2 linked regions of the Callithrix jacchus genome follow. The protein of the gene in region 2 purifies or fractionates together with the protein of the main gene of each other region. This does not show direct contact. Links are inferred from orthologs where the notes say so. Each region holds a gene or a part of one and is shown on either strand. Other genes may lie near its edges.

The links.
Region 1: the proteins of MTNR1A (region 2) and GNAI2 purify together in Homo sapiens (tandem affinity purification; 3 studies listed by BioGRID and IntAct, with this or other methods). This does not show direct contact. The link is inferred for Callithrix jacchus from reciprocal best matches to the Homo sapiens genes MTNR1A and GNAI2.

The regions. Positions count from the first base shown.
Region 1 is NC_133516.1:32,818,408-32,833,472, reverse strand, and holds the start of GNAI2 (guanine nucleotide-binding protein G(i) subunit alpha-2), read right to left. Parts: upstream 9,194-15,065; 5' UTR 9,062-9,193; coding exon 8,944-9,061; intron 1-8,943. UniProt on the Homo sapiens protein: Guanine nucleotide-binding proteins (G proteins) are involved as modulators or transducers in various transmembrane signaling systems.
Region 2 is NC_133504.1:5,046,607-5,061,506, reverse strand, and holds the start of MTNR1A (melatonin receptor type 1A), read right to left. Parts: upstream 9,253-14,900; 5' UTR 9,231-9,252; coding exon 9,041-9,230; intron 1-9,040.

The sequences.
Region 1 (15,065 bases), on a different chromosome or scaffold from region 2:
CAGGCAACACCCCTACCCATGTGCGTGGTCCAGCCCTATACCAGATGCCTGAACAGAGCAGACCCCACACCTCCCTCCCACCAGCCTCCAGGCATTCGGCTGCCTCCAGTGGCTTCCAGGGGTTCACAGTGCCCATGAGGGGAGCACTACCAACGAGGGCCTGGCTTGCTACTGCCAAGCCAGAGATCTCTGTATTAGGGAAATTTAGGTCTAAGGTCCTACCCACACATGGGAAAGGCTTTCTGGGGCAAGGTCTCCCTCCCTCAGTGGGGACCTTTCCACTGCACAGAGGGAAACTCAGGCACCAGGTGAGGAAGGCCAGCCTGACGTAAAGGAGGCCCCAGACCTGTTCATCACTGGCCCCTCAGGCCCCAGGTCCCGCCCCGTGCAGGAGCCAGGAGGTGCTGGACAAGATCCAGATCACACGGAGCTAGACCATTTGGCACCGTCTCCCTGTGGGCCTCTTTATTTCAGGCATCCCTCTACTGTTCCCAAGGTGCCTGAATGACCCTTCCTCCCTTCTGATTCACAGTGGTGGACTCCGGTACCCAGAGCCTAGACCTCATCTACAAAATGCACTCCTCAAGGGAGCATGCCAAACCCAAGGCCTGCCCTGAGTAGCCTCCCTAGGGTCTGCGCACTCACCCCAAACTGCCTCAGGGCCCAACCCAAGCCAGCAGCTGTCCTTGTGTCCAGAAGCCAGAAGACCATGCTAAGAATCACAGCATCACAGGTTCTAGTACTGGACAGAGAGAGGGAAGAGAACAGCCTGAGGTCACACAGTGAGAAAAGTGAGGAACTGGACCTTCTGGGACCCAGAGTCTTGGGTGACCATGAGGATGCACAGGTCTCTGCTCTGTGCATGACCTCATGGCCCAGAGAAGCTTGGATGCTTCTGCTCTAGCCCCTCAGGCCTCTAGCCCCCTAGGGCCTGGCCTGGCAACACAGCAGAACCCCTAGGAACCCCCACAGAAGAGGATAAGGCCCCACTAGGTCATAACACTGAGATTCAGAGGCCAAGGAGCGTGAGGAAGCAGCCTCATCAACTATCAGGCAGTCACCAGCTGACATCATGGCCACATTCAGCCACCACACAGCACCACACACGCACCCAGCACTGAGCCTTTGCTCACAGTGGGGCCCTAAGGAACACACTTTCCTTTCACTTCTCTGGACAATTCCTAGTCTCAGAGGCCCTCACTGTGGACTTCAACAGCTTCTGAGCCTTCCCCAGGCTTGGTCTCAGTCCCACTAAGACTGGAGCTTGTGGGAGAACAAGCATAATATTAGGGAAAAAATTAGTCCTAAGTTGCCAGCTATAACTTGAGCATCACTGTGAGGGGATATGGGCTAGAAGGAAAGGTGGGAAGTAAAAATGGAGCAGCTGCAGCCAGACTCAGTGGCTCATACCTGTAATCCCAGCACTCTGGGAGGCCGAAGCAGGCAAATCACTTGAGGTCAGGAGTTCGAGACCAGCCTGACCAACATGGTGAAACCCCGTCTCTACTAAAAATACAAAATTGGTTGGGTGTAGTGGTGCATGCCTAATGCCAGCTACTTGGGAGGCTGAGGCAGGAGACTCACTTGAACCTGGGAGGCGGAGGTTGCAGTGACCCAAGATCTCGCCACTGCACTCCACCCTGAGAGACAGAGCGAGACTCCGTCTCAAAAAAAAGGGAGGGGAGTGTTCCTCGTGACCACACGGCTGTAGAAAGATTCATACACAAGAGTCTTGGGTCCCGCCTTCCAGATCGGACAGCTCCCTTTCTGTCTCCTAAAAGAGGAATTGAGGCCTACGAGCCAAGGCCCACAGGCACATACAGAACACACATGCACCCTCTGCCTTCCTGCTAGCCTTCCCACCAGTGTCCCTCTCCCACACCATCCGCCCGATGTCCTGCCTGATCCATTTCTTCCAGCCAGCACAGATTCCCAAGGGGCTATGGCAGTTGGAGGCAGGTGCATGGGCCATGTCCTGGCATCTCTGCTTCTTGTGTAAATGACGTAATGTCTCTGAGCTTCAATTTGTCCATCAGTGAAATGGATGTAATGTCAGTCCCAGCCTCACAGGATTAAATAGGACAAGATCATGAAGAGTCCAGCTCCACAGTGAAGGCTCAATCAGAGACAGCTGTGGTTATCACCTGAAGGGAAACTGAGGCCCCGTGAATGCACCCATAGACCCAGTGAGTGGGTGCTGGCAAGGGAGAATCCTTAGGATGAGGCATGGGCTCCTTTGTCCACCCTAGCAGGGGAAACCCAGAGTGAGCTCATCTCGGCACTGCTGCATTTCCAGGCATTCATCTCGGCCTGTGGCTGGCCTTCCGGCTTTGGAGAGCAATGGCCGCTCGGGAATGTAAGAGCAACCCCTCTGCCTTCCTGCTAGCCTTCCCACCAGTGTCCCTCTCCCAGCCACAACTTCCTGTGGCCAAAGGAGGGGCCTGGAATCCTTCTCGGAGGCACCACCTTCTCTGGGATCTTGGGCTCAACAGTTGATGGGGCAGGACAAGGGACAGTGCTACCTGGACTGGCTCCAACCCAGTGACTGCCATTAGAATGGCCCACAGGAATGCACAGATAAGCCTGGGCAGGTATTCACCTCCTAGACCCTTCCAGTTGGCAAAGCCCTGGGGGGCCCTTGGGCTCTCACCCCCACCCTAGCATCAGGCAGCCCTCTGGCCTCTTCCTCTTTTGGGCTCCTCCTCCCCCAGCTGCTTCCTCCTTTTCCTCCAGTGTGGACACCACTTCCCCGAGAGGCCCAGCCCTGCCCTGCCGTGCTGTGCTATGCCGTGCAGACTTCACTCCTCCTCCCCGCCTGGGGCACACACAGTAGGTATTACCAATACCTCCTTTGCAGATTCTGAGGCTGGCAGCAGCCTTGGAGCCCCCAGATTCCTCCAAGCCATAATGATACCTTCTCCCCAACAAGGCTTAGATGACACCACCTTTAGGCCTTTGCTCAGACTGGTGTGATGCTGCCTTTCAAGACTTGTAAATGTGCACAGAGGCCGGCAGAGAAGAACCAGCCCAGCAAATGTTTGGTTATTCGGAAAGATTCTTCCTCCCCAGCCACTAAGAGCGGCCACAGCTCCAAGAAGTAACATCAGGGTGAGGGTGGGGTTAGTGTTTAGTAAGAACAAGAGCTTCAGGCTAGAAGGGCTGGGTGGGGCTGGGCAGACAGGGCCCCACCCTGCCCCTGTAGCTGAGGGAAGGCTGCCTGAGAGCATCAGGTACCAGGGCCACCATCAAAGGTCGCAATCCTTTGCCTTCCCCAAAGCACCTCTCAGTGCATTCTTAGGCAGGGTGCATCAGCAGTGGCCTGGCTAGACCTGTTGACCCCTTCCCTCTCTTTGCTGAATGCCTAGGCTGGGACTCCTGGCCCAAGATGCTGGGAAGATGAGACTGCTCCCTGGCCTATGCCTTGCTTCCATCTGCCCAGTCCTGCCTCCCGGCCACAGCACAACAGCACAACAGGGTATAGAGAAGGCAGTACTCGGGCTCTGGGGCAACCAACAGTCTCCTCCTCTTCTGGGGGTGGGGAGGCCCTGGTTCCTCAGTGGCTAAGAGCTTGGAGGGGGACAAAGCTTCCTCCATCCTGTTCCTGCCAAGTGAATGGGCGGCTTTTAGAGACAGACTGAGAGAGACACAGCCAGGGACTAAGAACTGAGATCAAGGGCAAGGCAGACAGGACCAGCATGTCTGCCTGTGGTCCAAGTAGCGTCAAGTGCACCTACTGCCCACCTCTGCAGTGCTGGAGGCCTAGGGACTTTGCTGGGATCTGACCACACCCCACCCTCAGTACTACCTGTGCCACTTGCTAGGCAAACAAATGTTCAAGGGCCTGGGACATCAGTGATGCCACTCAGTGACCCTACCTCTCAGGCCACCCAGGGCCAACCCCTGACAAGCTGCCCCTGGCCAAATGGGTTCAGGATCATGCCCAGCCCCCATCCAGCAGCCTAGGCTCCGACACACAGTGGGTAATGAGATGCTGCTTCAGGGCTTCTGGCATGGAAGTTTCTGTCCCCCAGCTGGCTTGACTTCCACCTCCAGCCACAGCTTCTTATTCCCTCTGTCCTCCTGTCCTCGAACCTGCTCTACCTGCTGTCTGGGGTTCCCCTCCCCCACCCCACCTGTGATGCCCCCAGCTGAGCTCCAGCTGCCCTGATTTACCTAGTCTCTCAGCTCAGAGGTATCCCTTGAAGGACCTAGTCTCACTGCTACCCTAGAGGTATGACCTCATGTTGGCTGCGCTGACACTGGAATGAGGGGCAGAGCCTGAGCCTAGCAGAACTGGGCAGGATGCAGGCAGAGGGGATCAGCTATGGCTTGGACCCCTGCTCATTCCTTAGCGTGGGAGCTCCATCTCCGTCTGCTCCAGCAGACAAAGCCCCACCAGGCCTGGGGGAGGGGTGGGAAGAAGAGACTCAGAGGCCCAAGACACCCCGCCCCCCATTCAAGTGCTAATGAGCTCCAGCAGTGAAGGAGAGGGCTGGGAGAGAATGTCAGGGCTGGAGGCCAGCCTGGGTGGGTGCTGGCCCACCTGGCACCCAGGGCCCTGCCACATCTCCAAACCTAGGCCCCTAGAGGTTGAGCCTAAGGTGCCCAGAACAGTCTGTCGCCAACTATCTGCACACCTTGGGCTCCCCACTTGCTGTGAATGGCTGCCTCCTTCCCATCAGACTCTCAGCAGTGGGTCTCATCCACTTTCTTTTTTTTTGAGACAGAGTCTTGCTCTGTCCCCCAGGCTGGAATGCAGTGGCACCATCTTGGCTCACTGCAACCTCCACCTCCCAGGTTCAAACGATTCTCATGCCTCACCTTCCTGAGGAGCTGGGATAACAGGCACGAACCACCATACTTGGCTAAGTTTTTTGTATTTTTAGTAGAGATGAGGTTCTACCATGTTGGCCAGGCTGGTCTCAAACTCTTGACCTGTGACCCCTGACAGGTGCTCCGCCTGCCTCGGCCTCCCAAAATGCTGGGATTATAGGTGTGAGCCACCCCATGGGCTGGTCCAGGGAGGATGGGCTCTCCCACAACCCTGCCAGGAAACACCCATCCAAGGTCTTGGGAATAAAGGGCCAAGTCTTTCCGCTGCAGTGCCCTTGTCGAGTCAGTCCCTCTGCCCCCCAGTGCCTGGCCCTGGCAAATGGTGTTCATCCTTCACAGATGCCCACCAGATGCCCTCCTCCTCCAGGAAGCTCCCCTTCACAGACACCACTAGAGTCTAACCCACCACCCAGCCAGCCAGAACCCCAGGCTAGCCCTTCCCATCTATCTCCTGTTAGACCAGGCTCTAGGGCTGCAGCAGGATTAAACTTACCCCTCTCCCAGGAGCTATGCCCTGTTCATGGACATGTTCAATCACTTCATTCTGTCCATATACACTCATTAGGCATCTATAGTATGCCAGCCCTTTGCAAGCGACACAGACAGGACAGAGGCCATGAAATTCCCTTTTTTTTCTCTTGGTAAACTAACTGAGCCCTTGCAATGCAGTCTCTGCGCTGGCCAGTCCCAGGCCTCTCACAGCATTGCTCTGGTCTGAGCCCCAGGGCAGCGGGGCAGCCCCAGTAGGACAAGACAGCTCAAGCTCTACTGTGGCTACCGGAGTGGCAGAGACAGCAGCCCTCTAGCAGTGCACAAACAGCCTGAGTTGGAAGAATATAAAGCCACTCTCCCAGATGAACAGGCTGCAGGCTGCTCAGCAGGAGTTCCGCAAGGGGTGGGGTAAGAACTGTTTCTGAGATGCCAGCATAGCCTGTGGCAGGGCTGGGAAGAAACAGCCTGAAGAGCTTTTCTCAGTGTCCCCTCAATGCTGGTCACCGACCTTGCCGTGGGCCTGTGGGCCCTTGCCACCTGCCCACAGTATCCAAACTGCTGCTCGGTTTACTCCTCCATCTACCCAAAATCAGGTTCAGAGGACACTTCCTTCTTTCAACAAACAGATGAGAAGCACCCAGTAGATGCCAGGCTCCATGCCGGGCACAGAAATGAAGAGGACATAGTCCTGAACGGCAGTCTCCAGGTATCTGATAGGGGAAGCAATAGCGCTGGGAGCCAGAGATGTTTCACCAGCCTTGGTCAAGGGAGGATGTCCAGGAAGGATCCTGGGAGGTGATTCCCAAGTAAAGCTTTAAAGCACAATCAAGTAGGGAACAGCAGATGCAAAGTTCCAGGGACAAGAGAGAACAGCTATATTTACATTCTGAAGCCTTTATGGAGCCAATGGTGGACACTGTCCCCTTTTTCTGTTAAGTTGTCCACAGAAGCCCATCCCAAATCAGAGACTATCCCCCTCACACACACTCTGGCTTCCTTGCCCCTAAGTGCCCAGCCCACAGCCCCAGATTCCATCTGGGCCTAGCTGGTCAGTCACACTGAGCTGGGTAGGTGTGGGTAGCACCCCTAGAGTAGGACTGGTATCTGTTCCCCCCACCAAGCTGCCAGGAAAAACTCTGCGTGTACCACATCAGCCTCTGCCCTGGTGACAGGACTGTGCCCACCTGCTGGCAGAGCTATCCAGGATGGGAGGGAGAGAGGCAGTGTGCAGGCGGGGCAGCAGGCGTGGTTCTGGCTGGGAGGGAAGGCTGGCAATTGCTCAACCTGTGTCCCGTTGCCTGGACAAAGTCTCCCGCTACATGGAACAGGCGCCCAGAACTCTGACCTTGCCACAGCTGGGCTCCCATCGCCACCTTGCACCTGGATGGGAAAGGCTTGGCTCAAGCCAGGATTCCTCCCCAGGCAGCCAAGGCAGATTGGGTTGTCAGTATCAGGCAGAGCTTGGCTGGAGCCCTTTGCAGCACACACTCTGTGGGGTCTTAACCCCCAGCCCACAACCCCAACAAGAACCACCAGGAGGCTCTTGTTCTCCCCATCCTGAGCTGGGGGACTCCTTTGGCCCAAACTCAGGAAGCCCATTTCACAGAGTAAGCAAAGGCCAGAGAGGCGGGCCCCCAGGGTGAACTCCCCAGGCTAAAAAGTGCTGAGCCAGACCCTGCACCCCTGGCTGCTGCAAGCCCAGTGTGGGAAGAGTTGCTAGGTCCCACCTGACGCTATAGCCGAGGCCTGGTGGGATGGGGGACCCATCTGGTGTCAGGACACAAAACTAGCCAGAAGCCCTGGGTTCTCCCAGCTCTATGGTCCAGTCTCACATCTCCTCCTCCACCACAGTAACTGCGATTAGCCTGGGAAGAGGCTTCTGGCTGGGCACTGGGAGGTAGCGGTACCGGAAGTGCCCTCCCCAGGCCCCGCGGGCAGCGGCAGCAGCAGCGAAGGGCATTCCGCCGCGTCGACACCCACTCACTGCCGCTGCCGCACTCACAGCAGAGACAGGAAGAGGCAAGCGCCCAACGCAAAGCAGCCCAGGAGGCTGGGCCGCCGCCCCTTCCCGCCCCTTCTCTTCCTCCCTGAGGCAGCAGCGAAGCGGATGCCATTTTGAAACCTCCGGGGCTGTGCCCCTGAGGCCGGGTCCCCCGGGACAGTCAACAGATGGGCCCGTAATGGACATACATGCTGTTTCTTGGCCACAAGTCTAGCATGAAAAGCCCTGCTTTTCACAGCCTGGGGCCCCATGACAGTTCTGAAGCTGAGGGGCCACACCCCCCCGTGCACTACCCAGCCCACAACGGTGCTGTGCTGTTACGAGAGCCTCCCTCCCCCCAACTCTAAAACCCCCAAATCAAAATCAGAGTCACTGGATACCACCCCTGCTTCCAGTGGGAGGCTGGATGGGGACAACCAGTAAGCCCATGGTCTTTGCTGAAAGGGATGCTCAGAGGCACCCTGGCCCACCCCCAACTAGCCCAACTCCTCATTCCGCCAGTCCACCATTCCCCTTCACAGGGACCCAAGATCCAACAAGTCCCCCTACTCTCAAAGGCTACATCCCAGGCCTTGCAGCCCGGAAGGGGTGTGGGCAGCCCAGCACCTACTAGCAGATCTCCTGGGCCCACCTGCAGGGGCAGCAATATGTCGGCTGTCTCACCACTTCCACTTCCCCCCACAGCTCTAGCAGCCACCATCTTCCCTGGCCTTGGAGGCGGCCACAACCCTAACTCCTCCACACTCTTTCCTACTTCCCAGACTGTAAAACATAGAGCCCGCAGAGCCTCTCCCTGGAAAGCCTGAGGCCCGGCTTCCTCCCCCAGTGTGACCAGTGGAGCCTCAGTCCAGGCCCGTGGGGGTTCTGCATAAGGCAGCCTAGGCCCTCTCCAACGCAGGGCTGCCTCCTCCTAGCCCAGCCCACTTGGTGCAGGAGGGGTGGAGGGAGCTGGGGAAGGCCAGAGTGTAAGAGGACTTAAGGGAAGAGCATCAAAGGGATTCGAGAGTGATGTCTGCAGAGAGGGATCTGGAGAGCAGGAAGCAGGGAGCAGGGCTCGCTGAAGAGGTTCCAGCTGGAGAGGGGGCTCAAGAACAGTTTCCCACTCGAGAGGTTCCTCAGAGTGCACAGGTGGAGAATACAGATTCCAGACTACGAATGGGAAACAGAGGGAGAAGGAGGCAGTGGGTGGGAGGCCTGGCAGGGGCCCGCGGGATGCTCACGCCCAACAGGAATAAAAGGCGCAGGTGAGGAAAACATGTGGAGCCGGAGGGTTGGGGAACAAGTGGCGGGCGTCCTGGGGGTTTGAGTAAAGTGTAGGGAAGGATGGCGGGGGCTCGGAAGTTCTGTGAAGCTGGTTAGCAAGGGCGGATGGCCAAGCAGGGCTCTGGACCGCGGGTGTTGGGGCATTGTTGACTGGATTTGGAGGTCTGGGGTCTGGAATGAGATGGGGATCTGGCCTAGAGTCTGGGCAGGATCAAAGGTCTAGCCCACCCTAGAGTTTTCAACTGGTCTTGGCCTAGGTGTGGGGATCCAGGCGGGCCTGGGAGTTTGAAGCCCTAGTCTGGGAGGTCAAAGTCCTCGTCCGGGGGGATTCAAGCTGCGGGACGCGGCCTCACCCAACAGCAGCAACTTCACCTCCCGCGCCGCCTTCTCGCCGTCTTCCCGCAGGTTCTTGTCGATCATCTTAGAGCGCTCGGCCGCCGCCTTGTCCTCGGCGCTCACGGTGCACCCCATCCCGCCGTCCGCCGGCCCGGCCGCCACCCGGCCCCCACACGGCCCACGGCCCGGCTCGGCCCCGCCCGACCCACTCGGCTCCCACCACCGGCCCTATGTGGGAAGCTCTCGGGTCGGCAGTTTCGAGCGTATGCAGGAGGCGCCTTCCCGACCGCCGCGCACCGACGGCGGGGAGGGCCGGGGGTGGGGCCTGGACGAACCAAGCCCGGTACTGGGCCGGGGCGGGTCTGGAGGCGGGGCCAGAGGAAATTCGAGGCTGGTGATTGGCTCTAGGGTGGAGCGAAGCGAGAAGTTAAGCGCAGCCCAGGCTCGGGCCTGGGCTGCAGGCGGGGCCATGCCGAGCAAAGGCAATAGGGTTGGATCCGAACGAAGGGACCCGGAGCTGGACAGGCTGCAGGCGGGGCCGGGCTCCGATTGGGTGGTGCGGGACAGCCGGGAGGGCGAGGGTGGGGATCTCGTGTCCTCTAGAGCCGAGCAGGAACCGGCCCTCTGAGCGTCTGTGAGTTGGGCGAGTTAGGTGGAGGAGGCGTGCCTTTTGTTATTTGTTAAAGTTAATGGGTCCAATAAACTTGTTTTAGGATCTACAGAACCCCTGGGCCCTTCTGGACCGCGGTTTTCTCAGACTTAAGGCTGGTTTACCCGCTTCTTTCTCTGGGTTGCAGCAAGTCAAAAAAGAAAAAAAAGGCCTGGCGTTGTGGCTCACGCTTGTAATCCCAGCACTTTGGGAGGCCGAGGCAGCACTTTGGGAGGCCGAGGCGGGTGTATCACTTGCGATCAGGAGTTCAAGACCAGCCTGGCCAATATGGTGAAACCCCATCTTTACTAAAAATATAAAAATTAGCCAGAAGTAACAGGTGGTGGGCACCTGTAATCCTAGCTACTCAGGAGGCTGAGGCAGGAGAACTACTTGAATCCGGGAGGTGGAGGTTGCAGTGAGCCGAGATCGTGCCATTGCACGGCAGCCTAGGCCACAGAGAGAGACTCCGTCTCAAAAAAAAAAAAAAGTCGATTTCCACCTCTACACCTTTGTGTAGGCTGTCTCCTTCAGCTGGGTGCCTTCTCAAGAAATCCAAGTCTTACCCATCCTTCCCCAGTCTACCTGGAGGCATTTTTCATGCAGCCATCCTGGACTCCAATCTGGGACCAGGCAACCAGAACCCATAGGAGGAAGGGAGAGAGGGAGAGAAGGTGGAGAGGGAGGAAGAGGGGAGGGCAGACAGGCAGGGTGAGGGGGTTGGGAGAGAAGAAAGAGGAAGAAGTTGCCACTGGACTTCTAGAAACAAAAGTGGCCATGATCTTATGATCTGTCTTCTCCATGGCCTGTCCACATCTGGAGGTGGCCATGAACCCACATCCCACCCTCCTGTGGCCTGTCCCCACTGGGCAATGGCTGCAACCCTATGGCCAGGCAAAGGTGGGGTGGAGGCAGCAGTGTTTCTAGCTGAACATTTCAAGTCTCAGATCCTGCGCTCCAGGAGGAGCCCACAGCCCCAACCTCGACTGGACATTGGAAGGGTCTCCAAATATTACCCACCAAGGCGTTTTGTGTGGCCCCAGTGCCATGGTCCCTGAAGCAAGACAGGGTGCTTGCTAACAACAGCCCACTGTTTAGCACAGACCAATGCCTTAGAACGTTGGTACACATTTTGGCCAGGCACGGTGGCTCGTGCCTGTAATCCCCGCACTCTGGGAGGCTGAAGCAGGCAGATCTCTTGAGGTCAGGAGTTCAAGACCAGCCAGGTCTACATGGTGAAACCTTGTCGCTACTAAAAATACAAAAATTAGCTGGGTGTGGTGGTGTGTGCCTATAATCCCAGCTACTGGGGAGGCTGAGGCAGAATCGCTTGAACCTGGGAGGCAGAGGTTGAAGTGAGCTGAAATCACACCACTGCACTCCAGCCTGACAACAGAGTGAGACTCTGTCTCAAACAAACAACAAAGCTTGGTACACATTTTGTCCCAATCCCCAGGCTGGTTATTCTCTCTGGAGTGCCTGCGTAACCCTATCTGAATGTTTCTCTTGATAAGGAGTCATTGTCCTGGAAGCCCTCCAATGACTCCCTCAGTGCTCCCTCCTGTCCTGAAACATGGGATATGGTGCCCCATGTCCACCACTGCTCTGAAGCTCAGGCAGGCCCTGCCATGGACGTGCAACATGTTGAGGACATATAATGCCCATCAGGGACACAGATATGCTGTATATACCCACACATAGGTCAGCTTCTAACATGCCTTAAATCCACAGAACACACTACAGAAATGGGTACACATGGCCAAGAATATTGTCTGTCCATGCATAGACGACAAACTGGCTTCCAAGGTGGGCCCCTCCCCTTCCCTTCACCGGTTGCCCCGCCCCAGGCTTGAGAGCCGATCGCCGATCCTCGATCCTCGTTCGTCTGGCCTCTCTAGCCTGCTCCTAGCAACAGCCAACAGCTCTCACAGTTGCCAGGCAACAGGGAGAACTTGTCAGCCCCTTGGAGGCCCAGCTCTCAGTAGGTGGGCGCAACATAGACCCCAATCTATGGAAGCAGGGCAGGATGGAGGCTGGCCTTCCCCAGCCCCAGGCCAGATGCTGTGGTTATTGCACCCTTCCTGCTAGTTAGCTACTCCTTTCCAGTCCTGTGCTCTTCCCAGAGAGTCCAGCACCCCTTGCTTCCACTCAGCTGGCTGCTCCTTCTCCATCTCCATGGCATCCCCAGGGCTATAGCCAGGCCTCTGCTTGCCACTCCAGTCATATGCTTCCCACTTTGGGGGCTCAGAAACCCACAGGGTCCTCTCCACTTCCCTGATTGCCAGCCCCATGTCCACCACTGCTCTGAAATCTCCCCCAGACACCTTGGGCACCTCAAACACACACTGTCCAGAACTGGGTACATCCCATCCCACTTGGCCCCTGTTCCTAGGCTCCCCATCACTTCATGGTCCCCCAACCAGCCATAGCAACAACCTCCCTCCCCTACCCCTATATTGCCATCAGCCTCTTCCCTACCTCAATTTCTCCTCCAATCTGTATTTGTTCTCTGTCCCTACTATCTCCCAGTTAAGACTCTATGCTCTTCCTTGGCTCTCCTGTTTCCCCTACAATCCATCCTCCACATGGCAGCCAAGGACATCCTACTGAAAGAAATTACATCACCAGGCGCGGTGGCTCACACATGTAATCCCAGAACTTTGGGAGGCGAAGGCGGGTGGATCACGAGGTCAGGAGTTTGAGACCAGCTTGACCAACATAGTGTAACTGTGTCTCTACTAAAAATACAAAAATTAGCCAGGCGTGGTGTCAGGTGCCTGTAATCCCAGCTACTCAGGAGGCTGAGGCAGGAGAATCACTTGAACCTGAGAGGCAGAGGTTACAGTGAGCCGAGATGAAGCCACTGCACTCCAGCCTGGATGACAGAGCAAGACTCCATCTCAAAAAAAGAAAAGGAAGGAAGAAAGGAAGGAAAGGAAAGGGAAGGGAAGGGAAGGGGAGGGGAGGGGAGGGGAGGGGAGGGGAGGGGAGGGGAGGGGAGGGGAGAGAGGGGAGGGGAGGGGAGGGGAGGGGGGAGGGAGGGAGGGAGGAAAGAAGGAAGGAAGGAAGGAAGGAAGGAAGGAAAGAAGGAAGGAAGGAAGGAAGGAGGCAAGCAATCACATCACTCCCTTGCTTGGAAATCTTCTGTGGTTCCCCAGTGCCCTGAGGATAGATAAAGCCCCCACACGGTGGTTTGGACTCTGCAGGAGGTGGAGGCTGTAGACTGGCAGCTGGCAGCAGAGAGTCTGAGGAGCAGTCTCCAAACTTGCCAACTACTTGTTACTTTGGACAAGTATCAGAAACTCCCTGTGCCTCAGTCTTCTTATCAGTAAAATGGGTCTAAGGTCAGGAAGTTTTCTTTGAGATGATGCAGGGAGTGCTGGAGGCAGAACAGTGAGGAAGAATATTGTAAGAAGATGGAAGAGGCCAGGCGCGGTGGTTCAAGCCTGTAATCCCAGCACTTTGGGAGGCCGAGGCGGGTGGATCACGAGGTCAAGAGATCGAGACCATCCTGGTCAACATGGTGAAACCCCGTCTCTACTAAAAATACAAAAAATTAGCTGACACAGTGGCACGTGCCTGTAATCCCAGCTACTCAGGAGGCTGAGGCAGGAGAATTGCCTGAACCCAGGAGGCGGAGGTTGCAGTGAGCTGAGATCGCGCCATTGCACTCCAGCCTGGGTAACAAGAGCGAAACTCCATCTCAAAAAAAAAAAAAAAAAAAAAAGATGGAAGAGTACATGCGAAGGCAGGGTGGTAGGTCTGAAAGGGGAGGTCTGGGGAAGAGCCAGTGAGAAAATCAAGGCTGAGAGCTGGAGAAACAAACCCCTTGCTTTGCAGCTGAGTCAGCTGAGGTTTAGAGTGGGCTAGGATGCAGCTGCAGTCATCAGTGAGGTACCTTGTGGGCATCCTGGTTTCTTCACACTCAGGAATCCAGGAGTCCTTTCAGGAGAGGTCATTTTTGGGGCAGAGGGTAGCTGCCTAGCAAGGGCCTCATGAGCATGAGAGGAGGCATGATTTGTCCCCATGCCCACCAAGCCCAGCACTGCTTGGACTAGACCATAAAGGACAATGGAATGACTTCAGCAGAGCTGAGGGTGGCATCTCAGCTGGAATGGAGAAGTGGCAGCTCCTGGCTCACCCCTACAGCCAGAATAGCCTTGGGGTTCACCACAGGCTGCAGAGCAGGTCCAGCATGGGCTGAGTTCCTATTGAGCTGCAGCCCTGAGTGGGGTGAGGAACGAAGACCCTCTCAGTGGGCTGTAACACCCTTGCATGCAGGCTCCAGGAAGGGGAAGCTGCTAGCACTTCCCCAAAGGCAGTTTCAGGGTGGGTGTGCCCGTCGCTGCCCAGAGTCCAGAACCAGGTAGGACCCCACAGGGATGCCAAGAGTTCAGGATACCGACCACCCTACCTCCATGGCTCCCAGGTGACAGCGAGTCCCTGGCCAAGGACCTGTGACTACTCAATCACAGCCTTGCAGCTCGTAGACCTCAGGTGCTCACAGCTTTACTCCCTCCTTACTGCCCTGGGGCAGGCTCCACTTCCTGGTGCATCTCCTGCGCTTTCCCCTTCCTGCCTCTTAGCCCAGTGGCAGTTCTGAGGCTGGAGTCAGCTATTCTGCCCTCTCTCCCTGCTCCCTGCCAGACCCCTCTTCCCAGGCCTCTCTTCCCCCAGGAGGAAAACCTGCAAGCCTGGGGGTCCTGGGTCCCAAAGTCTTCTTTTTTGGTCCTCCACCCTTGTCCAGATCATTGGCTTTGACCTGGAGAATTCAGGCCCCTGCATTTCTTCCCCATAAGTATCTGGATTAGGCAAGGGGGCCCAAACTGACACAGGGGTGGGGGCTGGGAGGCAGTAAAGGAGGATCCAGAGGGAGGGGTCATCTGTTCAACCACTGTTCCCTGAACATATTGCCTGCTAATGTGCTGAGAACCCTATGGTAAAAGAGGCAGCTGGGCCCTGTCCTCTAGGAACACACACCAAACAAACGAACAGGGAAATGAACTTCACCATTTCGGAGGAAATCAACAGGGTGACACTAGAGCCACTGGGAGGTATGTGCAGGAGAAGACAGTCTGAGGAGAGGAACTTGAATCATGATCTCAGCTCACCACAACCTCTGCCTCCCCGGTTCAAGCGATTCTCCTGCCTCAGCCTCCTCAGCAGCTGGGATTATAGGCATGAGCCACCACACCTGGATAATTTTTTGTATTTTTAGTAGAGACAGGGTTTCTCCATCTTGGTCAGGCTGGTCTTGAACTCCTGACCTCAACTGATCCACCCGCCTCAACTTCCCAAAGTGCTGGGCTTATAGGCATGAACCACTGTGTCCGGCCCAGGACCAGTCTTGTAGCAAGCCAGAAGAGAGTGACGACAGAGGAAGCAATAAGTGCAAGGGCCCTGGGGTGGGAAGGAGAGCTGGATGCTCCTGAACCAGAGAGGCCAACCCGGCCAGAATAGGGAGAGCAAGAGGACACTGGTGTGAGAAGG
Region 2 (14,900 bases):
ATTAAATAATATTCTCATAAAAGTAGTTTTTAAAAAGTTAAATATGTTAACTCTATTTTTATGTACTTAGAGTATTTAAATACCTACAGGTTGGGCGCAGTGGCTCACACCTATAATCCCAGCACTTTGGGAGGCTTAGGTGGGTGGATAGCCTGAGGTCTGGAGTTCAAGACCAGCCTGACCAACATAGAGAAGCCCCATCTCTACTAAAAGTACAAAATTAGCCAGGCATGGTGGCACATGCCTGTAATCCCAGCTACTTGGGAGGCTGAGGCAGGAGAATTGCTTGAATCCAGGAGGCGGAGATTGCAGTGAGCTGAGATCCCACCATTGCACTCCAGCCTGGGCAACAAGAGTGAAAACTCTAGCTAAAAAAAAAAACAAAAAACCTATAAATGTGAAATATTGCACTCTATCTTAAAAATAAAAATATAGTTACCCATCAGAACTATAACTCTACACGAAGAATACTAAATAACAAAAAGAATTCATTCTGCCTCTGGGAATGTTATATTTAAGTCATAATTCACTTTAAGTATGCAGCAAGTCATTTAGTCCTTACAATATCAGTATTGTCCCAAATTAACAAGGGAGGGAACTAAACAACTTAGGTCACGTGCCCTACTTCACACCAGTGGGGTGGCAGAGCCAGGGGTTTACTCCAGGCATCTGGTTCCAGAGGCCATGTGCTTCAGAGGGAACATATCCCAAAAAACATTATCCATAACAGCACTGATCTTCCATAGATAAGGAATGCTTCATCCATAAGGATATGTATCTATTATATATACGTAAAACAATCTTTTTAAAAAACGTACTTGGTAAAAGACTATATAATACCTACATGGACATAACACAAATGAGAATTGTTGAAAGTACTCCAAACTCAGAGGGAACAACTAAAGGAGCTAAAAAGAAAAGTGAAAATAAAAGGAAAACATAGAATGAAAACTAACTGGCAAAAAAATCCTAAAAGTTGGAATTTAAACTATGTCTTAAAATAAAAATGAATGAACCAGAATTTTCTCTTGAAACAAAATCGTGTCCTAAGCTCCTTACTCTATAGACGAACACAGGAGGCAACCAACCGATATTTAAATAAAGAAGAAGGGAATGAACACATGAAGGATGGAAGCACATTATCCCTTTGGAGACCACAGGTGTTTCATATTCCTAAATGTGTTCGGAAAATCAAAGAAGAAATACTAATTACTGATCATACATTTTTATAATCCACCACTTAATAACTGTGAGAAAACAAAAATGTAAGTTAGCAAGCTAGTTCTCCAGCAGGTGTTTCTTCAAAACACATAATGCCCGTGTGTTACTCTCACATAGTTATGCTGTGTCTCTATCACTGATCAGTTTCCTTGAAATTCCCTCACTGATTCTGTCTCAGTCTGCTGCTATTTCACATGTGGACTAGTTTCCACACCTCCCTAGTATTATGTTGTTCTCTCATCCTAAGATAACAACTTTAAAAATTTCTTATGATTGCTTTAAGCTCCAGCGACCATCTACCAACCAACTTTTGCATTTCGCTTGAAAAGGTTTTCTGCTATGTAAATATGCTCCTATTTTCATACCTTTGTACTCCATGTCTTATCTTTGTTTGGAAATAAAAAGAACACAAATTTCTAAAGTGCCTTGATAGAAAGTAATCTCTTTGAAAGTAGGTGCCACGTTTGACCCAAGCTCAGCGTAGGACCTTGGATTTTGACAACCCCTCAAAAATTTACCAACCATTTACATTCTGCCTTATACATTAGGAATGCAGGAAGTATTTACCCAAATAAATGTTCAGTTCAATAAGCACCAGAACTACTCGGTATGAAAGCAACTGGGCACGCTTTTAAATCGTTAACAACTCAATTTCGCCTCCACTAACCGGAGTAATATTCAGCACCATGGCTGCATTTCATTTGTGTCTGTTCTTCTGAGACTGATTCCTCCAATTTGATTGCCAACAGCGCACGGCTCTGTAGAAAGACAAGTATTTGAGCACTTCATTCAGAAAAATCCAGTTTATTTCTTATCTGCACACTGTAACACTAAAAATCACTGAGATGTCACATACAGCCCTCAGGTCTCTGGTCAACTTGATTATTTGAGAGGGGCAGAAATGAGGCTGCTGATTAAGGCACTGTCTTCCTGAGCAGAGAGGGCACCAATGAAACAGGCAGAGTTCTGTGCGTGCATAATCGCTTCTTTAACAACAATCCACTCATCGCCTCTTTGGTACTAGAAAATTCTAAAGTATGTGAATTTCCTTTTTAGAAAAACATGGTATTTCTGTCGGTGAGGCAACTTACAAATACTTAGGAAGAAAGGGAAAACTCCAGGCACCTTGTACGGATGCTCCATTCACTTCAGCTATTCTAGTTATTCTTTTTTTTTTAACTGCATTTTAGGTTTTGGGGTACATGTGAAGAACATGCAAGGTACTTGCATAGGTACACACGCGGCAGTGTGATTTGTTGCCTTCCTCCCCTTCACTGATATCTGACATTTCTCCCCATGCTAGCTCTCCCCAACTCCCCACCCCCCGCTGTCCCTCCCCTATTCCCCCCCAACAGACCCCCAGTATGTAGTGCTCCCCTCCCTGTGTCCATATGTTCTCATTGTTCAACACCCACCTATGAGTGAGAACATGTGGTGTTTGGTTTTCTGTTCTTGTGTCAGTTTGCTGAGAATGATGGTCCCTATGAAGGACACGAACTCATCGTTTTTGATGGCTGCATAGTATTCCATGGTGTATATGTACCACATTTTCTCTGTCTGGTCTATCATCATTGGGCATTTGGGTTGGTTCCAGGTCTTTGCTATTATAAACAGTGTTGCAGTGAACATTTTTGTGCATGTGTCCTTATAGTAGAACGATTTATAATCCTTTGGATATGTACCCAGTAATGGGATTGCTGGGTCAAATGGAATTTCTATTTCTAGGTCCTTGAAGAATCGCCACACTGTCTTCCACAATGGTTGAACTAATTTACACTCCCACCAACAGTGTAAAAGTGTTCCTATTTCTCCACATCCTCTCCAGCATCTGTTGTCTCCGGATTTTTTAATGATCACCATTCTAACTGGCATGAGATGGTATCTCAATGTAGTCTTGATTTGCATTTCTCTAATGACCAGTGACAATGAGCATTTTTTCAGCCCCAAATCTCCTGAAACTGATAAGCAACTTCAGCAGAATCTCAGGATACAAAATCAATGTACAAAAATCACAAGCATTCCTATACACCAATAACAGACTTAAAGAGAGCCAAATCAAGAATGAACTGCCATTCGCAATTGCTACCAAGAGAATAAAATACCTAGGAATACAACTCACAAGGAACATAAGGGACCTCTTCAAGGAGAACTACAAACCACTGCTCAATGAAATATGAGAGGACACAAACAGATGGAGAAACATTCCATGTTAATGGTTAGGAAGAATTAATATCGTGAAAATGGCTATACTGCCCAAAGTAATTTACAGACTCAACGCTACCTCCATCAAACTACCATTGACTTTCTTCACAGAACTGGGAAAAACCACCTTAACTTCATATGGAACCAAAAGAGAGCCCGCATAGCCAAGTCAATTCTAAGTAAAAAGAACACAGTGGGAGGCATCACACTACCGGATTTCAAACTATCCAAGGCTGCAGTAATCAAAACAGCATGGTACTGGTTATTCTTTTGAAACGGTGCTAATGAAGAAGGAGCAGAATGAGCTCCAAAGACTCTATGAAGATTTAAAGTGACTTCCAAGGCATGATACTTTTCAATGCAGATATTTTTAAAACAAAACCATCAAATGGCAGGAGCTTTAATCTAGGACTATTTTATCCTTGGTTAACTTCCAAAATTGCCAAGAGAAAAATGATGCTGGAAGCCAGTGAACATAAACTCTATCTTATCTGTGATTAATTTAACATTGAAAATTCCTGCCAGAAACACTTTCTTATGAAATAAATAGCTGGAGGAACCAAAGGTCAGACCCAAATTCAATCATGTGTTTGAGAGTCTGAAACTACTGTCATAAGCTTTACGGGGAATTCTGGGAATTACTCTGACACATTTGTAAAAACTTAGGGTTCCGTAATAATGTACTATACAAACCAGGATAAAAAGTCATAGAAATCTGAAGAACAGCTAAGCATACAAGGGGGGAAAATCAATAAAATGTCTCTAAAAGGAAAAAATGGCCTTGAATCAATAATATCAAATAGTGTGGAAAGCTACAGGCGGGAAGCTGCAACAGTGCCAACAGGAAATCTCAGACTGGAGATGGCATGAAGCATGGGCTCAGCTTATAACCATCGTCCACATCTCTACAGTACAAGGTACGTCGTAAGGTTTTGAATGGCAACATGCTTGCCCAAGAAAGCTACTGCAGTGTCTAGAGTTGATTCACTTAAAGTTAGAGAACAGCTGAATATTGAAATAATAAGTCTTTAAATCTCAAGCTTACTTTCTGCAGAGAGATAATGGTTATTACAAAAGGGAAAACTCAGACAAGGAATATTTTGTGTATTTTGCATAATGTCACAAATGGGAATTTGATTCTAAACCATTTCTGGCTGATTTCACTTTCTTCCCATTCACATCATCTACTTGGTTTTTAAAAAACATACACTTAAAAATATATGAACATTTAAAAAATAAAAATAACCTAAAAAGAACAAATCACCAGATGCATACTAGTAATAACATCATAATACTATTATTTATACCTCAAAATGATGGGTAGATGGGTAGGTAGGTGGGTGGTGGATAGATGGATGGAAGGATGGAAGGATGGATGGATGGAAGGATGGGTGGATGGATGGATGGGTAGATGGATGGGTGGATGAATGGATGGATAGGTAGATGGATGGATGGGTAGATGGATGAAAGGATGGGTGGAAGGATGGATGGATTGAAGGATGGGTAGATGGATGGAAGGATGGGTGGATGGATGGATGAGTGGATGGAAGGATGGGTAGGTAGATGGGTGGGTGGATGGATGGAAGGATGGATGGATGGGTGGGTAGATAGATGGATGGGTGGAAGGATGGATGGATGGGTGGGTGGGTGGATGGATGGGTGGAAGGATGGATGGATGGGTGGGTGGATGGATGGATGGGTGGGTGGGTGGATGGATAGAAGGATGGTTGGTGGATGGATGGGTGGATGGATGTTTGGAAGGATGGGTGGATGGATGGATGGATGGAAGGATAGGTGGATGGATGGATGGATGGGTGGATGAATGGATAGATGGATGGATGGGTGGGTGAATGGGTAGATGGATGGGTGTATGAATGGGTGGGTAGATGGGTAGGTAGGTAGACTGATGGGCAGAATCTAAGTTTATCCTTCTAGTGGCATCTTAAAACAGCCCTGGTACATTCAAGATTTGAATCAGATCTGAGGCCCAAAGTCCAAATTTGCTCCATACTCTGTGTATTCTGGTAATGTAGAATGGATCAATATAACATTCTATAGAGACCTGAATTTTGTGTAAGAGAGGCTTAGCACAGGCCCAGTGTCAGCCACCCAGCCAGAGGACCGTTCTGGGAAACAATTTTTTTTTTTTTAACATTTACTGACATTTAACCCTCCTGTGCCTACAGATTAAATAATAATAAACTGCTTTTGACAGGTATCTTTCTAAAATGTATTATACCTCTGTCTTAAGTAGAGCACACCACACACGATGACACCTCTCCCTGATGGATCAGGTGACGATTAATACATATGTCAGTGCCCTGCACTGCCGTTCGTCGTGAGCAGGGTTATTTGCATCTTCACAATGTAAGCACAGAAGGTCGTGCTTGTTCTATGTTTCAAACTTGCTTTTAATGAGTCTATTTCAACCCATGCTGCTTGCTATTATATGCCATTTCTTTAAATGTGCCAATCTTCCTCCTAATTTCCTGCTCATAATCTACAGGGACCTAGACACTGGTATCACTGTTTGATGGGACTCAAAGTTAGAACAAATCAGCTGTGGGTGAGAGCCTGTCACTTTTGCTAATTTCCACTTATTGGCTGTATTCTACTTCCATTAGATGGCCAGATAATTGAATTCTGAATAGACAAGATGGTATTGTACTCTTGCCTGACACTGTTTAAAATAAGTTTTATTTAAGTATAATGTACATATAGAAAAGTGCACGAATCATAGGTCTTTGGCACAATGGTTTCCAACAAACAGAGCACACCCTTGTGAGGTGTACCCAGAAAACACCCCGACACGGTGTTACTTGTTTTGTCCTTTTCAAAGTGTTCTCATACGCGCCATTTCACTCAAGTCATTGCAACAGTCTTGTGAGGCTAAACAGTCAGGTATCATCTGTAATTCGGCAGGGAGAATGAAGTTTCGTATTTAGCTTCACTGATTTCTGAAATCAGAAGGTGCACAGCAAGGACCGAGTCCTAGCATTGCGTTGCCAGAATCGTCCACTATGCTATCAAACTTACTCAGAAGACGTGACATAGCAGATAAATTCTATTATCACATTTTTGACAAGGGCTGAGTGAATATTCTGTCAGCACCACAGATGCCAGTGGTTGTCTGCAGCCTGCCTCAGCTGTGACTGTCCAGTGTCACCAACACACAGATTGATAGCCATTTTTCATTTCTTCCCTGGGAAGTCAAATGTCAGCACATTCCCCTGAGAGGAGGAAGGTGGCATCAATCACTGCAATTATCCGGGCTTTCCAAAGGAAAGTGAGAGCTCAAACTGTAGATGCCTTCACATTCTCATTTCTTCCATTCTCTTCTTCCCATCCCTTCATTCTTAAAACCAACTAAATTAATTCAGCTGAAAAATCATGCAAACTTCTACCAAGCTTTGCCGAAACTTACATTTGAATCAGCTACCCTTACGACTTTCCAAATCACCATCCATTCTGAAACCCTCAAACGGCTGCAGCTGTACCTATAAACGAAAAGTCCCTATTATAAAAATATGGAGCTTCTAAAGCTCACTAAGCTCACTAAGGGTCTTCCAGGTAGCTACAGGAATGAAGTATGTTATAGACCGTCCTCTTAAGGATATGCCTTAGCAAATAAAATACAAAGTGTGTGTAAGGAGCCCTTTTCTTAAGTTCTTCTTCAGAAAACACAAGAAGTAAAACTGTTCAGGCGTGAACACTTTTGGTTTTTATTTTATTTCACTTTATTTTTTTGAGATGGAGTTTCACTCTTGTTGCCCAGGCTGGAGTGCATAGGCAAAATCTCAGCTCATTACCACCTGTGCCTCCAGGTTCAAGCAGTTCTCCTGCCTCAGTCTCCCAAGTAGTTGGGATTACAGGTGTGCGCCACCACACCAGCTATTTTTTTGTATTTTTAGTAGAGACGGGGGTTTCTCCATGTTGGCCATGCTGGTCTCGAACTCCTGACTCAGGTGATTCCCCCGCTTCGGCTTCCCGAAGTGCTGGGATTACAGGCAGGAGCCATGGTGCCCGGCTGTGGACACTTTTTAAATGAAACGTTCTGCAGGATTCAAACTTCCCAAGGGCTGCAGGTGCTGCCAGCGAGGGATGAGGCTGAGCCCGGAGACCAGCGAGGAATGAGGCTGAGCCCGGAGATCCGCTCCAGGAACTGAACCCTGCTCGCACTTCCAGTCCCTGTGAACAACGTGAAGCCTCAGTTTCTCCTCTGTAAGGTGAGTTAACAACAGCGCCAGACCACGAGGCGGCCCTGGGATTCAGTTATCCCAGTGCTCACAATCTGTTTGGTCCAAAGAAAGCCTTTTTTTTTTGAGACGGAGTTTCGCTCTTGTTACCCAGGCTGGAGTGCAATGGCACGATCTCGGCTCACTGCAACCTCCGCCTCCTGGGTTCAGGCAATTCTCCCGCCTCAGCCTCCTGAGTAGCTGGGATTACAGGCACACGCCACCGTGCCCAGCTTATTTTTTGTATTTTTAGTAGAGACGGGGTTTCACCATGTTGACCAGGATGGTCTCGATCTCTTGACCTCGTGATCCACCCGCCTCGGCCTCCCAAAGTGCTGGGATTACAGGCGTGAGCCACCGCGCCCGGCCAAGAAAGCCGTTTTTATTGCTAGGAAGGAATGAGCCTCTTCTTGAAGGCAGAATTCCTCCAGTTTAAGTCAATCACCTACGAAGTGAGCTTATTCAATTTACTAACCCAAACTCAATTCATATCACTAGGTGCTTATTAACTAATTTTCAAACTGAAAACGGCAAGATCATTACAGGGAAAAACGGCAAGGCTGAGCCTCCCCAAAAGGAGCTCAACAAAATGAGAGCTTTTCTCAATTCCCTGTTTAGAACAAAAATATTGATCTTGGCAGACATTTAAGTGCGTGTTTTCTTTCCCACCCCTTCTCCCAAAGGTTTCTCCAAATAAAAGACTAGTTTCTTCAGAGAGCCGAGCATCTAATCATCACCCAGAGTCTGAACATCCGGTATCCTAACAGCAAAGTGTCCCCAGCTTCCCACCAGAACGAACCAGTTCAATTCCTTGCTCAGAGGAAAAAGCAAGTTTAAGTCAAGCACAGAATTATCGGTAGTTGCATATTCCGCGTAAGGGCAGCCCCTCCTGTCACACAGAACAGGAGACAGTGCAGCTTCTGCGTCCACAGTGTCCCCCGCGTACCCGGCCTGCTCGGGGCCTCCTTCCACCGCAGGCTCGTGGCTGCCGACCACTCCCAGCGGCAAAACCGCAGCGGCTGCTCCGTCGTGGTGCCCGCTTCTGCGTTTCCACATTTCAACAAAGTTAGGAAAAGTAAACCACGTGTCGGACCAAGCCGCGGGTCGGTTCGAACCTTGCAGAGGCTGTTGAGGAACTTCCCGCAGCCTGGAGCCGACGCGTCTCGTTCTGGTAAACCCGAGACAGGACACCAGACCCGGGCGTCCCCGCAGGGGAGAGGGCCCGGCTCCGGCGGAGGGTCCCACCTCGCAGGGCCGCGACTCCGGGTCACCGAAAGGCACTCGAGCGGGCCGGCCGGAGGGAGAGCGACTCCGAGCCCGCGGCGTTTCGGAACCGCCCGAGGCGTCCGGGGCGCGAACCAGGGGCGCGGCGCGGGCCCTACCTGCGTTCCGGAGCTTCTTGTTCCGATACACAGACAGGATGACCAGGAGGTTGCCCAGGACGTCCACCACGATGGTGAAGATGAGGACGCAGGCCAGCGCGGATGCCGGCCACGAGGGCACCGGCCGCGCTGCGTCCCCGCCGGGCACCGGCCGCGAGGCGTTGGGCAGCGCGCTGCCGTTGCCAGGCATGGTCCCTGCGCGCGTCTGGGCCGCGGGGCCGCCGCCTCCCGGGAGCTTTTCAAGGCTCCGCCCGGCGCTCCCGGCGCCCACGCCCCATCCCGCGCGCCCCTCCACGCCGCGCCCCTGGACGCCGCGCGCCACGGCCAGAGAACAACTGGTGCCCGCAGCGAGCCCACCGGGACTCCCCGCCCGCGGCCCGAACCCCGCACCACGGGCCGACAGCGCCCCGCTGCGGGAAGCCGGGCCCAGCCGCCGCGCCCCGGGGACGGTGACCCAGAGGCCTCTCCTCGCGGTGGGGGCACAGCGCGACCACCCGTTGTGTTTCTTCTCTGGAGTGGGACTTTTCACCCAGCAGGGCCAGGCTGCCCGGGCTCAAATCCGACATGGGACTGGGACGAGTTCCCCAGTCACCGGTGCCCCAGCTCCCTTATCTTCCTTATCTGCAAAATGGGAACAGATACTGTCTCCCTCGTTAGCCTCATAATGAGTAAAACGTGAAAAGATCAAGGACGCTCTTCTGCTGTGTATTGCACCGTTTAACGTGGTGCTAGATATTTCCGATGGTGAAATGAGATTTTAAAGAAAAAATGTAAAAAGCAATACTTGCAGCTGATAAAAATGTCTGTACTTTCTTAGGTACCAGTGAAAATGAGAAAGAATGCGCCATCAGATGGGTCTGATACCTGGCAGCAATGTAAAAGTGCGAGGGAACGGCTTAACCCGCTGTGTGCAGTGAGAGAAAACTTCGTGAAAATCGTGAAAGGACATGTAAACAAACGGAGAGACCCGCAGTGTTCCCAGATTCAAAGATTGAAACTGTCGTTTTCCTCATATACTTTATGCCAGCCCAAGAAAACTATCCAATAACCGGAAGTCCCTCTGAAAGAGTAAAAAGAAAGTGCAGGAAAAGGATTTAATAAGATGAATAGAAGTACGACCTACCACTATCAAAATGTGCATTAAAAATTATAATAAGTAGGCCAGGCACGGTTGCTCGCGCTTGTAATGCTAGCACCTTGGGAAGCCAAAGTGAGAGCATCTTCTGAGCTCAGAAGTTTGAGGTTCAATGAGCAATGAGTGCACCAGTCACTCCAGCCTGGGTGACAGAGCAAAATCTTGTCTCAGAAAAAAAAGGCACTTTGGGAGGCTGAGGCAGACGGATCAGGAGGTCAGGAGTTCGAGATCAGCCTGACCAACATGGTGAAACCCCCATCTGTACTAAAAACACAAAAATTAGCTGGGCGTGGTGGTGCCTGCCTGCAGTCAGCTACTCAGGAGGCTGAGGCAGGAGAATCAGTTGAACCCAGGAGGTGGAGTTTGCAGTGAGCAGAGATTGTGCCACTGCGCTCCAGCCTGGAGACAGAGCAAGACTCTGTCTCAAACAAACAAACTAACTAAAATAGCACTGAGCTCATAAAGAATTTGAAAAAGCGCATAAAATAAAGATTTTATAAAGTTAACACTTCAGTGGGACTGGGGTAGATCATGAAAATAGAAATGCGCTAAAGAAAATGTAGGTAAATACACAAAGCACTTGAGGTGGAGAAGCACGGTCTGAGCATGAAAAAAAAAAGGCAGGCAGGAAATAATCCTCACCATGGAAAGAACAGGTAGCAGCTGCCATCGACAGCACCACTGACAACGCTTCTCACTTCCCATCTCTGGCATCCGGATTTGACACCTATGGTTTGTACCGTGTGTTAACAATTCCACAAAGCTTGACTCTGCTGCGACCACTTTATGGATGAGAGGTTAAGCAGTGCACCAAACTCATGCAGCTCGTAGTAAGTGGAGGCAGAATTTGAACTCTGGGCTCTCTGACTGCCAAGCAAGAAACCTCATTTCTAAGTTTCTCAGCCATGATAGATTTGACTATAGAAATGTTAAAAGTTGGCCGGGCGCGGTGGCTCATGCCTGTAATCCCAGCACTTTGGGAGGCCGAGGCGGGTGGATCACGAGGTCAAGAGATCGAGACCATCCTGGTCAACATGGTGAAACCCCGTCTCTACTAAAAATACAAAAATTAGCTGGGCATGGTGGCGCGTGCCTGTAATCCCAGCTACTCAGGAGGCTGAGGCAGGAGAATTGCCTGAACCCAGGAGGCGGAGGTTGCAGTGAGCCGAGATCGTGCCATTGCACTCCAGCCTGGGTAACAAGACTGAAACTCCATCTCAAAAAAGAAAAAAAAAAAAAAACGAAATGTTAAAAGTCCTATATTCAAAAAATACCACACAAGTGAAAGCTAGATAAATTGGGGAAATGATTTGTGACATGTGTAAGAGACAAAGCATTAATGATCTTCATTTTTGTCATGGTTTCAGTGTGTCCCCAGAATTGATGTGTGTAAAATTTGGTCCCCAGGGGAAGGTGGGGCCTTTCAGAGGTGATCAGGTCAAGAGGGTTATACCCTCTGTCTGACTGGGTTCATTCTGCAGGCATGAGTGAGTTCTCGCTCTCCTAGGACTGGATTAGTCAAGGTGAGAGTGGGTTTGTTAAAAAAATTACCACTTAAACCTGGGCGATGGAAAGAGACCCTGCCTCAAAATAAAATAAAATAATCCAGCCCCAGGTATTGTGGTGTTCTTTAATAGCAATGGAAAACAGACTAAGACAATTATATAAAGTAATTTTTCAAATAATCCAGGAAAAAAAATAGAAATCTATTTAAAGGTCATAATTAGACAAAAACTAAAAATTTCTATGTAACCTCTTTTAGTAAAAAAATTAAAAATAAAAGAGAGTGTCCATTCCAGCTGTCACTTTAGAAAACATTAAACATTGGTAGTACCAGGAGTGGTTTGAAATGTGGAGATAAAGCATTCCTGGGCACTAGATATGAATGTTTTAAAACAGCACACCCGGTGCTAGTCATTTTACGAATAGAAAACAACTGGACAAGTGTCCACGTATGTCAGGACACAGAGTTATTTCTCCCTTCATTGTTTGTCACAGGTAAGCCTGTTGTACTTGGGGTTTTGATACACAAATTTGTGAAATCAGTAGATGTAATACAAAGCCATAGATGGCGAACTCCCACAGAAGGGGTGGCATACATAACGGCGGGGTGCACCTAACACAATTCCTGATCTTTCTTCCTTGGGGAATGAGAAAGGGGAAGCTGGGAAGCCATGAACACTGAAAATAATGGGGAAATCCCAGAAAACAAAGACCCGAGAGGGAATGCCCAGACTGACTGCAGCGTCCCTGAGCCCAGCACCCGAGGAATAGACCCAAAAGAAGCAACTAGAGCCCAAGGCCTGAGCTGAGGCTGGAGCTGCCACGCAGAAAACAGTTACAGTTCAAGCCTAGCCAAGAACACGACCTGCTGAGAAAGAAAAGAGTCCTCAATGGAGAAAAATAATAGCATGTGGAATACCTACATCCATCATGTTTAACATCCATAATGTCCATGGTAGGACTCAAAAGTATTAAAAATATAAAACATTATCATCTGTCTATCAACTCTTTATCTATCATCTGTCTACCTATCTATTAATTGAAACACACTAAGATACAATAAAATCAATGAAATCCAGTCCCTAAATGAACGAAATGTTGTAACTAACGAATCTCAACAGAGAAATGGGAACCCTCATGAGAAAAACAGAAACAGTGAAAAAGAACCAAGGGGAAATTCTAGAACTTAAAAACATACCATTTCTGAAATGAAATCTTTCCTCAGTGGGCTTCCCAGCCAGAGGGAAATGACAGAGTGAGTATACTGAAAGATGAACCCACAGAAATTGCCCGACATGAAAAACACAGAGAAAAGATGCTTTTGAAAATGAACAAAGCTTACAGTTCTTATAGATTATATTAGAATACTAGCTGTAGGAATAAACACTAGAAGACATTATGACTGAAATTATCCTGAATTTTAGGAAAGACATAAATTTGCACATGGAAAATGAATCCTAAGCAGCATAAGCAAAAACAAGCACACGAAGGCACACGAGAGTCACTCTGCTAAAAGCCAAACATCCAAAGCAATTAAAGTCACATATCACGTGCTGCTCAGCAGTTAATCCAACTAATGGCTGACTTCTCATCAGAAACTGCTCTATTACTGTCATAACGAATTACCTTCATTAAATGAATTCAGAGACTTAAAACAACACCCATCTATGATGTCATAGTTAAATAGACAAGAAGTCAGGTGCAAAGCGGCCCAGCTGAGCCCTCTGCTTAAGAGTCTTATGAGGATAAAACCTCAAATAAGTAGAGCCGTTTCTTTCTGGAGGTTCTAGGGGTAAATTCTCTTCTGAGCTCATTCAAGTTGCTGGCAGAATCCAGTGTCACATGGTGGTAAGGGTGAGCTTCTAGAAGTTGGCTGCATTCCTTGACTCATGACCCCTTCTCTCATCCTCAAAGCCAACATGGTGGGCAGAGTCCCACTCACACTTCAAATTTCTCTGACTTTATCTTCTTCTTCCTCCCCCCTGCTCTAGCTGGAGGAAGTTCTCTCTTTTAAGGGCATATGTATTTAGATTGGGCCCAACGAGATAACCCAGGCTAATTTTTCTATCTGAAGGTCCATAGCCTTAATTATAACCGACATTCCCTTTTGCCATTGGTCTCACTCCACATTGTGTGGCTATAACAAAGGGCCACAGACTGGGTAATTTACAAAGGAAAGAGGCATGTGTGTCCCATGGTTCTGGAGGCTGGGCAATCCAAGGTCACCAATCCAATTCTCATTTGGTGAAAGCCTTCTTGTTGTGTTATCCCATGGTGGAAGGCGGAAGGCAAGGGAGTAGATGTGAGAGAGGAAGAGAGCCACACTCGCTGTGGTAACAAACCTGCTCTCCTGTGACCAAACCCACTCCCTCCATAATGACATTAATCCATAAATGAGGGCAGGGCCCTCATGGCCTAATCACCTCCTAAAGTCTCACCTTCCAATGTCGTTGCATTGGGGATTAAGTTTCCTACACATAAACTTTTGGAGACACTTTCCAAACCATTGTACCATGTGATGTAACCTTTTCGCAGGTTTGAGTCTTAGGGCATGGACATATTTGCCATGTCATAACTCTTACTAACAGAAATCATGAGGACAAAAGAAGTTGGAACACCGTCTTTTTTTTTTTTTTTTTTTGAGACAGAGTCTCGCTCTGTCACCTAGGCTGGAGTGCAGTGGCATGATCTCGGCTCACTGGAACCTCCGCCTCCTGGGTTCAAGCGAATCTCTTGCCTCAGTCTTCCACGTAGCTGGGACTACAGGTGGGTGCCACCCACACCCAGCTATGTTTTGTATTTTTAGTAGAGATGGGGTTTCACTGTGTAAGCCAGGATGGTCTCCATCTCCTGACCTTGTAATCTGCCTGTTCCAGCCTCCCAAAGTGCTGGGATTACAGCCCCCGGCTGGAACACCATCTTTAAAGTGATAAAAGAGGCCAGGCACAATGGCCTATGCTGTAATCCCAGCACTTTGGAAGCTGAGGCAGAAAACTGACTTGAGGCAGGAGCTTGAGACCAACCTGGGCATCATAGCGAGACCCTGTCTCTACAAAAATAAAAAATAAATTAAAAGAAACAAGTAGTAAAAGAACAAATCTGTCAAACCAGAATTCTGTATTTGGTGAAAATATGACTCAAGGACAAAAACAAAATAAAGACATCTGCAGAAAAAATAAAGAAAAGTTGTCACCAGCAGACCTGCAGTGTAAGGACTGCTTT